Schizosaccharomyces pombe: one gene and its partner. The protein of the gene in region 1 purifies or fractionates together with the protein of each later gene. This does not show direct contact. Each region holds a gene or a part of one and is shown on either strand. Other genes may lie near its edges.

Region 1 (6,661 bases):
TCATGTAACCAAAGATGCAAAGGGTTTAGTGTGGCCATCGTCGATAGCTCCTTGGAAAGTACTAGTTGTTCCTACTTCTGATAATCATATTCAGAGCGCTGAAACGGTTTACGATGCCACGGCTAACGTTGTAGGCTTTGATAATGTGCTGTTGGAGGACAGACAAAATAGAGCTTTTGGATATAAAATGAGAGATGCTGAGTTGATTGGATATCCATTTGTAATAGTTGTAGGATCAAGATTTCAAGAGGAAGGAATATGTGAAATTATTGTTCGTTCTTCAGGTGAACGATATAAACTTGACAAAGATTCACTGCATCAAGTACTCTTGGGAAACTTTCTTTAAATTTGTCAAATCCTACAATATTTTTTTATGCTATGAGAGTAATCTAATGTCAAGAATTTAACTTATCGTTCAAATAGATACCATTTCTACTTGTGAACATTGGAAAAAAGCTTTTTTGTCCAAAAATTATATCAATGCAAAATGCTGAAATCATCATTTCGATAAAATTTGTTTTGTAGTATCAGACAAAAACTCGTTCCGCTTTATTGATATCTTACTATTTTATAAACATTAAAAAAGTGTCATGTTTCCTTCCTACTTCTTTTTGTAATTCGGTTTTCTGCAACTATAGTTTGAACTCATAAATTAAATCAGATACACAATCTGAGGATCGGATGCAAAACTAAGTTTGAAGTAATCCCTGCAAAGAGCTAGCTGATTCAATAGTACGAAGCAAGAGTTTAATATTAACAATCATAAAGATTTGCGCTAGATTACAATTTAAGCGAAATACAATTCCAAGCCTTCAGGCTATCTATTTAATAGTTCGGTAAGATAATGTGAAGATGTCCGAGTGTGATTAAAAGCAGTTAAAACACTTCCCTTTGAAATAAATCAAATAATACGACCAAAGACCAACAAGTTCAGGGTTCACTTCTATAAGTCTCATAATCAATATTTTAGCTGATTTTTTAAGCAAAATTGCAAATTCCACGGAGTGCGATCACATCGACACTACCTGTTTATAAGAATATATAGGAGTATATATATAAGAGGCAAATCTCTGTCAGGATATTTCCAGAACACCAATACCTCAATACAGGCGATTAGAAAGGAAACGATTTCTAACGCTCTTTAAACGTTTGGATTGAAACTAGTAAGTATTTATATCTATGTAATAACTGTTTTGAGTGAGACCCCTACGCGTCTTTTCATTGCTTTCTATCTTTAGGTTTTCTACGTTTTATTTATGCGATATTAATACTTATTAGATTTATTTCATTTTTAAGTAAAATGTCACAATTTGCTGAGTTCAAATTACCTGCCATTAAGAACGAGCCTCCTAAACACTATGGTCCCAATAGTGCTGACAGAGAGGGAATCGTCAAGGCCTACAAGGAGTTAGAGGCTGAATTACCTGTCACTATCCCTGTCATCATTGATGGTAAGGAAGTTGAAACGAATACCATTGGTGAGCAGCGTTGTCCTTTTGAGCACAAAAAGGTCGTTGCTCGCTATCACCGTGCTGGTGCCAAGCACGTTGAAGATGCCATTGAGGCAGCACTTCGTGGAAAGAAGGTCTGGGAATCCTTACCTTTTGCTGACCGTTCTGCCATTTTCTTGAAGGCTGCTCATTTGATAAGCACCAAGTACCGTTACAAGCTCATGGCTGCTACAATGATTGGCCAGGGTAAGAACATCTGGCAAGCTGAAATTGACGCTGGAATGGAGATCATTGACTTCCTTCGCTTCAATACCAAGTATGCTAGTGAATTATATGCCAGCCAACCTCCCGAAAACACTCCTGGTGTCTGGAACCGTATGGAATATCGTCCTTTGGAAGGTTTCGTTTATGCCATTACTCCTTTCAACTTTACAGCTATTGCTGGTAACTTGGCTGCTGCCCCCCTTCTCATGGGCAACGTCGTTTTAATGAAGCCTTCTGACCATGCAGTCCTTTCTAGCTACATTGTTTACCAAATCTTCCGTGAAGCTGGTCTTCCCGCTGGAGCACTTCAATTTATCCCTGGTGACGCTGTTGAAGTCTCCAAGGTTTGTTTCAACCACCCTGAGTTTGCTGGTCTTCATTTTACTGGTAGCACAGCCGTCTTTCGTAGCCTTTGGGGAACAATTGGCGAGAATGTTGCCAACGGAAAATACCGCACTTACCCCAAAATCGTCGGTGAGACTGGTGGTAAGAACTTTCATCTTGTACATTCTTCCGCTGAAATTAAGAGTGCCGTTGTTAATGCTGTTCGTGCTGCTTTCGAATATCAAGGCCAAAAGTGCTCTGCCCTTTCTCGTCTTTACGTTTCTAAGTATGCTTGGGAAAATGGTTTCCGTGATGAGCTTACCAAACAGGTCAAGTCTCTTAAGGTCGGTGCTCCTTTAACTGATTTTGCTAATTTTGTGGGCCCTGTTATCCATCAAGCAAGCTTTAACAAACTGAAGAAGGTTCTTGAGAGTGCTGCTTCCGATTCTGAAATTGAAGTTTTGGCTGGCGGTAAAGCTGATGATTCCGAAGGTTTCTTTGTTGAACCTACCGTTTTACTTTCTAAAAACCCTAAACATGATATATTCGTTAACGAATTGTTCGGCCCCGTACTGTCTGTTTATGTATATGAGGATGACAACTTAGACGCTGTTTGCGATCTCATCGATACTACCACTCCTTATGGTTTAACCGGATCCATCTTCGCTCAGGACCGTGTTGTTGTCAGAAAGTTGACTGACCGTCTCCGTAATGCCGCTGGTAACTTCTATATCAATGATAAGTGTACTGGTGCTGTTGTTGGTGAACAACCTTTTGGTGGTGCTCGTGCCAGTGGTACTAACGATAAAGCTGGTAGCGGAATGATTCTGTCTCGATTCGTTTCTCCTCGCTCCATCAAAGATACGTTTGCTTATGCAGACTCTGTTTTATACCCTTCCAACTTTTAAGTTTGTTTTGGCCTTTTTGATTTGGATTTAATTTTTAGAATTTAGATAGACATTGGAGTTGTAGAGTGTTTTACTCTGTACTTTGATACTGCCATAAAAAAGACCACAACCTTTTTTTTTTTGGGTTTAGTACAATATGTGAGGAATAAAGGAAGTATATATATATATATATATTGATTAGTTACCTTGAGTTAAACTCAAACTTTCAAAGGTAGTCTAGGTTTTACAATTTTTTTTTTTCTTTTTTTTTAAAGCTCGCCATTTGTTATTCTAATAAATTATAATGTTCGCTTTGTTAACATGTATTGATTTATAACACTAGATTTGTTGCATTGTATATAAAAGCCAGTGGACCAAAATGTAGTTTGCTGGTGATTCTTGAATACAACAACGACCTGTAGAAAAAGGATCTCAATTATCGAACATTTTACTTGCTGACTGCGAAATATATTATATTAGGCTTCGGAGCAATTAGAAAAATTACAAGTCTTGATGGAAAGTTCGTTTGCTTTACATTTTGTTGTAGGGTTACTCATGTACAAACACCATTAACCCACATACTCTCTACTCCACACATCGCCCAACATAATTAAAACTTTTAACATGTTTTCATGGGAGGCTAGTTTATCTAATGGTAAGAGATGAGTTGGGAATTAAATAACAACTAATATTTGATAGAACTGTATTTTGTTCGTCAATACTTTTATAGTGGAAACTATACAAAGTTATTTGAAATTGACACGACATCCATGTCTGAAAAAGGTCTTGAATTGACCGAAATTTATATGGCAAGGGCAAAATTAGCTTTAGGTGAAAGTTTAGAATCAATCCAAAGTATTTTAACTCAAAAAACGCCTGGATCAGCTGCTATTCTGGCGCTGGCTGGGGAGGGGAACATGGAGTTAATTATTGACCAGCATGGCAATTCAGACAGTGTGGTACAAACATTAGGAGCTATTTTTCAAATTAAAAATGGTTCTTTTGATGATGCAATGGATTTATTAAAGAAGTCAGTAGAGAACTTGGAGGCGGTGGCGCTTCAAGTATACATTCATTTACGAGAGCACAAAATTGAAGCTGCTGAACAGACATTGAAACAGGCTTTGGATTGGGCTGATGAAGAAATTGTACTACAGCTGGCACAATCTTGGATTAAAATAGTTAGTGGAGGCGTCGAATCCTATAATGATGCATTTTATGTTTTTGAAGAGTTAAACGGAACTGATAGCAATCCAATGACTTTAACTGGTATGGCGTGTGCAGACATATGCTTGTTGAGACCTGAAGAGGCTTTGAGCTCGCTGAAAACTGCCCTCGATTCTCAACCAAATTACGAGGAGGCACTATCAAATATGACTACTGCAATCACGGATTTAGGCCCTGATGCTCCTTCTCAAGCCAAGAATATACTTTCATCTTTTACAAATTCTTCTACACTGAAGTTGAACGATCATTTAAATGAAAAGGCGCAAGAATTTGATACTTTTTCAACTCAATTTTTGAGTACGGCTTAATCCAATAATAATATTGTTTAGAATCTTCAATCCATTAATAAACTTCAAATGTTTGCATTTTTAGTATTTATTCATTGACTATTGCTTCACTCAAGTAATGGCTCGTTGATCTGTCTGGCAAAGCAAGTCAATCCAGTATTGCCTCGATAAATTTCAAGTTTACCAGAAGTAAAGGTATTAAACTAATTAATTAGAAATACTTAACCGCATGCAGAAGAAGACTCATGTAGACATAATAACAAGAAAACGCACCCGAATATATCTCGAAATGAAACATTTAAATGAACGCCGTCACAACAGGAGCGTCTTTAAACCGTTTACTTTTATTTATCAAATACATTCATTAATTAAAAATGAACTATTATGACTATCCACCTATATATTTGTTTTTAAAAATCTAGAATAGGTGGTTCTTGTCCAAAATTACTCAAAACCTGCAGTGCCACAAAATGACAAGCAACAAGTTTGCCTTTACAAATAGAAAAGAAAGATGTTTTGAAATACACAGGTGTTTGGAATTTGGAAAAAGCAAGAAAACCGATATTAAACGATAAGACTTTAAGAATCGAAGATGAACTTGCTCAAACGGCAGTGGCACCATGACAGATTACAACTATATATGCCAACATTTGCTTAACCCCAACATGTATCAAAACTCTTTAACTAGCAAACGTTCATTTTTGCGACATCGAACACTTAAATAAGCATGTATGAACGTATCAGTTTGTAACTCTCTTTGTAAATTTAGCGTTACTTCGCTCAAAATAGTTGGATTGTTGTGTAGTATTAACACATACTACATACACGCATTTGTTGTATTAAGATTTGAATCGGTACGCAGAGTAAAAGAGATACTTGCTACTGTTCATTCTGAATCCTATTAATAAATGATGTTGAAGTTCATACTGTCAAATATTTGTACATTTTCATCCTCCCCATTCTTCCAAATTCGCACTATAGCATTGAAAGCGGGCACATATTGTGAGGATGTTGCTCTTAGAGAAAAATGCAGATGTAAATACACCGAAGTACTATCAACTTAACTTTTTAGATAAGGTCTTTGTTGTAGAAACTTCTTTTATTCGGACTGTTGACATTTGCCAGGTCCGTTGGATCACTAGACATACAAAAAAATATTCTGTTAAAATCGACAAGACACTATAAGCACGTACCAGTGAAAGTATAACGATTTCACTTTTCCAATAAGTAAAAAGCCTTTGTTTCTGTAATTGTTTCATTCTTACGAATTCTAATAGCTCGCTTACCACCTGATAGTGTACACGCATTGTAGTTACCTTTTTCAACATCTCAACTTCTTTGACGGCTTAGCAATCTTAGTATCCATTTAGGAAGTATTAAAGGAGAACAGGTATTTGTAACTCCCTTTATAGTTGGAGACCATTGCTGCTCATTAAAACCCTGGTTTCTTTGTAAATTGTACGCAATTTTGTTTTTTGGGTTGCTTTGTTTACATTAAAGGAGTTGATCCACTGATTTCTCATTCAAAAATTAAACAGTTCTTGATTTAATTTCATCTAATACCTTATCGCAACCGTGATAGTATAATAAATTTGACTGTTTACGAATACCAAAGTTTGTTTGTGTCATTACACGATTTTTCTCAAAGAATCCTCCTGGTTTTTTTAACCAAATTGTTTAAATAATAGTTTCTTTTTACTATATAATAGTATTCTTTTGGATCTCTTGGAATTATCTGGCAATTGGGTTTTTTGCTTATAGTTGGGTCCACTTCACAAATATTTGAGATTTAACGACATCTATTATTTCTTTTTTAATCCAAAAATCCTTATTTATCACCTTTTCTGCTGTTTTTACAGAAAATTGCGGAGATTAACTTTCTTTGTCTCGACTTTGAATTATCTCCTTGTGGGGATTTGGAATCTGTAGCTGCCTTTTCACCATGGGATGCATGTCGAGTAAATACGCTGATACATCAGGAGGAGAAGTCATTCAAAAGAAGCTTTCAGATACGCAAACCTCAAACAGCTCTACAACTGGAAGTCAAAACGCTCGAGTTCCAGTCCTTGAAAACTGGCTTAATATCGTCCTGCGTGGAAAACCACAAAATGTGGAAAGTTCTGGAGTACGCGTAAAAGGAAATTCTACTTCAGGTGGAAATGACATTAAAGTTTTGCTCTTAGGCGCCGGTGATAGTGGGAAAACGACCATTATGAAGCAG
Region 2 (6,516 bases), on another chromosome or scaffold:
CATTAAAAGTTTGGAAACGTGATTTTAAAGGAACAACTCATTATTTTGAACATAAATCATTACCATACAGATTTTTCTTCTTTTTCTTCTTTTATTATAAATAGGATACGATAAGTAGAGGAAACCGTAAATTTATGATGATTGACTCCATGATGCGGTAATTTCAATCCTTCCACTACACACTGCCTTTAATTCCAGGTCCATCTGGTTAATCATTTTTTAAAGAATCTAATTCATTCATATTTTTTTATTATAATTTACATTATATTTTCAATTTCTTTTTACTGTTTTCTCTCGTTTCTTGAGTCAACGGGCGAAGATTCGTGTTTCAAACGTAGTATTCTTTGGAATATCACAAATCTCATTTTAATTTTTAAAACGGCTTTCTAATTTTCTACCGAGAAAGAGTAGAAAGTTTCCCATTTCATTCATAATTTCTGATCCATTCTTGGTATCTTATTGTTTTGCTTTTATCCAATCTCAGTTTATATTTGTGAAACTTGAAAAAGAGTTTCTCTTGTCTCTAAAAGACTAAATTTTATTTTTTATTTTTTTATTAATTTGCATTTAACATCTGCTAATCTTTAAAATGGCAGTCCTACAGTGGAAGTTATCTCGTGTTATATTCGTGTTGTTAATCATTGGGATTAGCTCTTTTCTCATTTACTTCCAATTTGGAAACTCTTTTTCTGCTTCACCTGCTTTAGAACGTTTACAAGATGTATTTTCCAAACCAAGTGTACAAGAATACGACTACTTAGTACCTCTGGATGAAGATATGCAAGGCCTTAGCACGACGTATCATCAAGCGACAATTAACGAGGATGATCCTCAAGAGCCCAAATCCCATGAAATAGTAATCCTCTTAGCGAGTGATGGACGTTCAAGTGGCAATATGGCACCTGAAACATTTAATCAATGCATAGAAAACCGAATTAACTACGCAAAGCATCACAACTATGGCTTTGAATATGTTAATGTAAGCCAAATGAACATTCCTCCAGTGTGGGCCAAAATGCCCGCTATTATACAAACAATGAATAAGCATCCTCATGCGAAATGGATTTGGTGGTTGGACCAAGATGCGTTAATTTTGAACACAGAACTCTCTATTCAAGAACATATTTTGTCACCTGACGTTTTAGTGGAAAAGTTAATGAAGAATGAACCTATGATATCTCCATTTAGTGCTGATCTCGAACGTCTCACCCCAAGTTCCTATACTGTTGACAGTGCTCGTTCTTTAGGGCTATTGATTTCTCAAGATTTGAATGGCTTAAACGCGGGAAGTTTCTTTGTTAGAAGGTCGCCCATGATGGCTCTGTTTTTGGACTTATGGGGCGATAAATCCTTTAGAGAAAATAAGGTTGCGGATCATGAACAGGCCCTTTTGGGATATTTTGTTAGATATCACCCGGAAATTGCTGCTATAATAGGAATTTTACCTCAAACCCTTATTAATTCTTACCCTGTTGGCCAGCCGGAAATGGGCTGGAAAGAAGGTCATTTGGTTATACATTTTGCTGGGTGTTGGGTGGAGAACCGTTGTCAGGTTTTGTGGGATGAATATCGTGAGAGGGTTCATTGATGTGCATTAATAATAATAGTATTACCATTATTAATGCATTTGGTTATTTCCCCTCATCTTGTCTTTATTTTTATTATACACAAGCCACTGGATGCCACTCCTTTTACATAATTACCTATACAATTATGCTCTATGTATGTGTATATATTATCTAAGCATAGTCTGCCTCCTTAACCGTGCTAGTTACGGTTGTTTTCAATGGAAGAATGTGTTTATTTTATATGCGGTGTTCTGTTACAGAGGTGGTGGATAATCATCTAATTCCTTCTTTAATTTTTCTAATATACATTGCTATATAAACTAATTGTGACACTTATATTATAGGTGGTTTTGCAGGCCCCAGACAAATATTAATTGTGTTTAATTCATAAGCTTAAGGCTGAAACCACCAATCTTTTATTATATTTGTTTTATTGCACTTAATCTTTGGCTTTTTTTCAATTATTATTGAATCTATGCTACCTGTGTGAAACATAATCGATATTACTCCTAAAAAGCTGTGGATATTTGGGTAGGTAAAGTTATATCGCTTGATCCTAAGTTTGATATTTGTATTTTTTTTTGTTTAGGAAGTTGGCAATGCTTGCAATCTTGTCTTTTTCTATACATTTCTTCCTTGCCTTTGTCTTCAATCTAATCTGCGTATAAATGTCGATCTGGTTTACTTTTATAGACTGAATTCATTAATTTCTTTTTCCTTTTATTAAAGCTATTCAATGTAGATTTGTCACATTATTTTGCTGTGCAGGATTGTCATGAATTGAAAAAGCATACGTTATCTGACTTTATGAACCTCGAAATAAAATAAACAAGCATTATATTACATTTGTGTAAATTATAATGCTGTTAGGGTTGATGATAACTGCAAAATTCATGGCTGGTTTGAAAAGAGCTTTGCCGTTAATTTCAAATAGAAGTTGACATCGCTTTATTAGAGATGTCCAGCACCGGCTATACTCAATGATCATTAGTTGTTATTTCCGCTACATTTGCTTAATGAACCTTTTTATAAAAGCTTGCATCGAAAGAAGAAGTGTCATGTTGTAAATGTTAAAGAGTACCCAGACAAATTCTTCAGATTATTATCTTTACTCTTGACTTTTCCAACAAATTGACGACTCGTTTACTACTATGAATTCTTCATAAACACCCAAATCGACATGCCATTTTTCTGCAAAATTAATGAAGTCGAAGGTGAGCTGTATACAGTTTAACGTATTGGTAAGTATATGCATTAAATTTCTAATCGGTTAATGAGTTGATCATATTTAGGAACTTCAAATTGGTAAACGTAACCGTGGTGTAACTATACTAATCTATTCAAAAAAAAAGTAATTCTGACTGCCAAATTATCACTGAATCTTTTCTTTACACGCTTACCGCTCTCGAGTCCTGTAGAGACAAATTATTACTTTATCGTTATATTACTTTAAACTAATAATATCATTCACCGATAACACATTATAATGTATACTGTATTCTAGTGTAGGGGGTAAATGGAGTCTGGCAGTAGCGCGTATATGTCTGAATTGAATACATATTTCACTTCACTACCAACCACCATTTTATCGTCTGTTTGACAGTATTTAAGCATGGAATTCATTCAGCGTCATATAGAAAATGTTAAAGAGAAGAAAAACTTTGCAGTTCGAGTAAGAATAACTTGATTAGCTTGAGAAAAGAAGAAAATCTAACGTGTTTTTAGTTGTATCGACACTGGGTGGACCGAACCATACCTTATACAACGTATAGATGGCTGACTGTTAGTGGATTAATTGCATTATTTTTTATTAGGATTCTACTGGTTCGCGGTTGGTATATTGTTTGCTATACATTAGCCATTTACCTGCTCAATCTGTTCCTTGCGTTCTTGACTCCAAAATTCGATCCTAGTGTTGAGCAAGCAATGAAAGATGAAGAAATTGAAGAAGGAGTTCTTCCTACTTCCAAAGACGATGAATTTCGACCCTTTATTCGTAGATTGCCAGAATTCAAGTTTTGGTATTCAAGCATGCGTGCCACCTTGTTCGCCTTAGTCGCGTCCTTTTTCCGAATATTTGATGTACCTGTGTTTTGGCCTATTCTTGTTGTCTATTATCTTGTACTTTCTTTTTTCTGCTTTCGACGACAAATTCAGCACATGCTCAAGTATCGTTACGTTCCATTTGATATCGGTAAGAAAAAATTTGGCTCACACTAGGTAGTGTTTGAGCTGATGATGACCATGATCGCGAAATTGTTTTTTTCTTAGAAAGATATGATCACATTCAGTTGATTATATTAATCGGATACTCCTCAGTCGTTCTCTTACAAACATTTGTTTTTTATGTTTTTATATCGCCCACTCTTACTTTTAAACATGTAAGGAATAATTTTTCCAGCCCTATGTTCTTTTTACGCGATAAAACTACTTTTTTCTTTGAACCCAGTAACCTGCAATTTCATCGATAATGATGCTAATTTCGATGCTTTGTAATCCATCGGTTCTCTGGGTGTACAGCTATCTTTCATGCATATTCAAGATGTTAGATATCTGTATCAGGCTAAAAGAAATTGGCGATTATTTCTGTTAACATGTATGTGGATTGTCATGCGGTGATGATTAAAAAAAAATCTTTCTTATTGGAGTTGGGTCTTTGATGAAGTTGATTAACGAACAAGTTACAGAATACTCGGCTTATTCTTGTATCCAGAAGCGCTGGAAGTGGGCTAATTTGAAAGACATGTATCTCTTTCGAAAAGCTTACTCGCTTCTTCACGAACAGTTGTATATGGATAATAATTAGCATGCAGGTACAAAAATAAATTCATTGAAGCAACAAAATGACATGAAATTCTTTACAGCTAAGGAGTTTTAATAAACTGCAAACCAAAATTTAAAAGGTGTTTGTCAAATTTGACAGCATGGCTACTGTAGTAAACATTTACGTACATGATAAAGTTAGTAATTGTATGGTATCGTCTTAAGCACAGACAGTCGATTTTCCGTTAGAACAGCACGAGGGTTTTTCTGATGTGCAACAGCTTTTCTTTTCTTGAGAGCAGCAGGAGGTTTTTTCTGTTGAACAGCAACCTTTTTTTTCTTGAGAACAGCACGAAGGTTTTTTCGATGAACAACAGCTTTTCTTTTCTTGAGAGCAGCAAGAAGGTTTTTCTGATGGACTAGAATCCTTCTTGGAACAGCATGAAGAACCCTCGTTGACGGATTTCAACTCGGCATGCTCTGTCCATAAACTTTTGCCTGTACAAGCACAAATTTGCTTGGTATTTTGACCCAAACCAGCGCTACGGGAAATAATTCCCATAGTGGCGGAATCAGAATCGTCGACACATTTAAGAACGAAACAGTGACCAATCCAATTTGGTAAGGATCCAGAAACCTCTTTGTCGAGAACAATTTTTCCTTGCTCATTGGAGTTTGCATTAAAAAGGGTAACAAGGCTATCGCCAGCGGATTTGAGTCCACGGGAAATGTCTCCTGAGATAGTGACTAATCCTGTATACTCTCTATTTGGTAGGAGTTGAGTAGCAATCAAATCGAGGAAAATTTTCTCCTCGGTGGGAATAAAACGGCAAAGTCCGTAAACTTTGGGAATCTGGGTTATATCTTCATTGGCTTCATAAAGAATGGAAACGCCCGATTCTTTGTTACTAGCACCACGAATGAGAATGGGCTTCGAAGTGGCATTTTCCAAGCGCCGAAGGACTTTTGAAGGAGAGACTGAAAATCTACGTTAGCTAAGAGTAAAATGAGAAAAATAGGAAGTAAAAGAGGAAGTCAAACAATTTACTTTCAATTTTATGAACTAATGTAAAGCAGGATGAACTCACAAATCTCTCTTTTCTTCCTCATTTCTTATTGGTTTTATCACTTACCAGAACCCTTCACAATTAATTGACCAGTTGCAGCATCCCATTTCCAATCTTCAATGTTTAAATCTTGGAATTCCTGCTCGAGGGTATTCTTATTTACGTCGTCACAATCCTTAATGAGATATTCAACCTAAAAATTTTATTAGCACTCTTTGAACCAAATTTTCAAACAAATGCCATACTTCAAACATGTTGAAAACAAAAAGAAGCCGAAAGCAAAATAAGCCTTTAATATGATATTATTGATGTTGGCAAATGGCAACTTCTACGGAACTGCGTAAGGTGGTGAGATTTACTTTAGAATGGAAGGCAAACTCAGTATGAAGATTAGTCAGAAGGAAAGTTAATGGTATATTGAATTGAAAAATGCAAAATATGAACGTCAATTTTTAAAGAATATCATTGATTTTATTAGAAATGACAATGAATGTTGGATTTTTCTATTTATTATTATTTATTTTTTTAAATTTTTTTGGAAGATTTGTTTTTTATTCCAAGCGAGTTAAATGGCTTTTCTTTCTGTTGGTTTATAAATGAACATAGAGATTGTATTATTATTTATTTTTCATTAATTTTTTAAAGACCATTTAGCTGTAATTGTTAGTGTACAACTCCTTCGTTTGATTTAAAAAAATAAAATAAATGCTATGGGCGATAGAGAGATGTAGGAATATCTAAATTCTAAGTATTATTTTTCTTATATTATGGAGAATTTGAACGTTCTGTTTAGTGATTACAGTACTCTCACAATTTTAGTGATTCGTATATATACATGAATTGAGTATTCTCGATTTCTTTTCAAACAAAGAATCGAATTCTGTTGGCAATTTTTTTTTTCATTCATCTATTATTATTTTAGTATTAATTTTTTCACTTCAATCGAGATTATATATTTGCTCCGGTTTGATCTATTTGCCTTTCAAAGACTTAGTATATTACATTACTACCAGTACTGTGAAACATCTTATATAGAATCCATGCAATTGATATTCGTCCATACTAGAATAAAATTTATAGTTATTTAAAATGAATTAATTAAAGTAAACTGTTGCCGA

What was found. Proteins that work in one complex are often made in the same cells at the same time.
Region 2: the proteins of sec28 (region 1) and rer1 purify together in Schizosaccharomyces pombe (affinity purification with western blotting, with the first as the bait; one study listed by BioGRID). This does not show direct contact.

Annotation. Positions count from the first base shown.
Region 1 is NC_003423.3:2,323,956-2,330,616, forward strand, and holds sec28 (coatomer epsilon subunit protein), read left to right. Parts: upstream 1-3,518; 5' UTR 3,519-3,550; coding exon 3,551-3,581; exon of another isoform or gene 3,582-3,625; coding exon 3,626-4,461; 3' UTR 4,462-4,546; downstream 4,547-6,661. Other genes in the region: SPOM_SPBC24C6.03 (proline--tRNA (Pro) ligase), read left to right, coding at 1-346; put2 (delta-1-pyrroline-5-carboxylate dehydrogenase), read left to right, coding at 1,301-2,947; gpa1 (G-protein alpha subunit), read left to right, coding at 6,383-6,661. UniProt on the Schizosaccharomyces pombe protein: The coatomer is a cytosolic protein complex that binds to dilysine motifs and reversibly associates with Golgi non-clathrin-coated vesicles, which further mediate biosynthetic protein transport from the ER, via the Golgi up to the trans Golgi network.
Region 2 is NC_003424.3:5,024,072-5,030,587, reverse strand, and holds rer1 (Rer1 family protein), read left to right. Parts: upstream 1-3,137; 5' UTR 3,138-3,180; coding exon 3,181-3,240; intron 3,241-3,293; coding exon 3,294-3,788; 3' UTR 3,789-4,445; downstream 4,446-6,516. Other genes in the region: alpha-1,2-galactosyltransferase Gmh3, read left to right, coding at 590-1,588; superoxide dismutase Cu chaperone Ccs1, read right to left, coding at 4,552-5,309, 5,465-5,591, 5,644-5,652.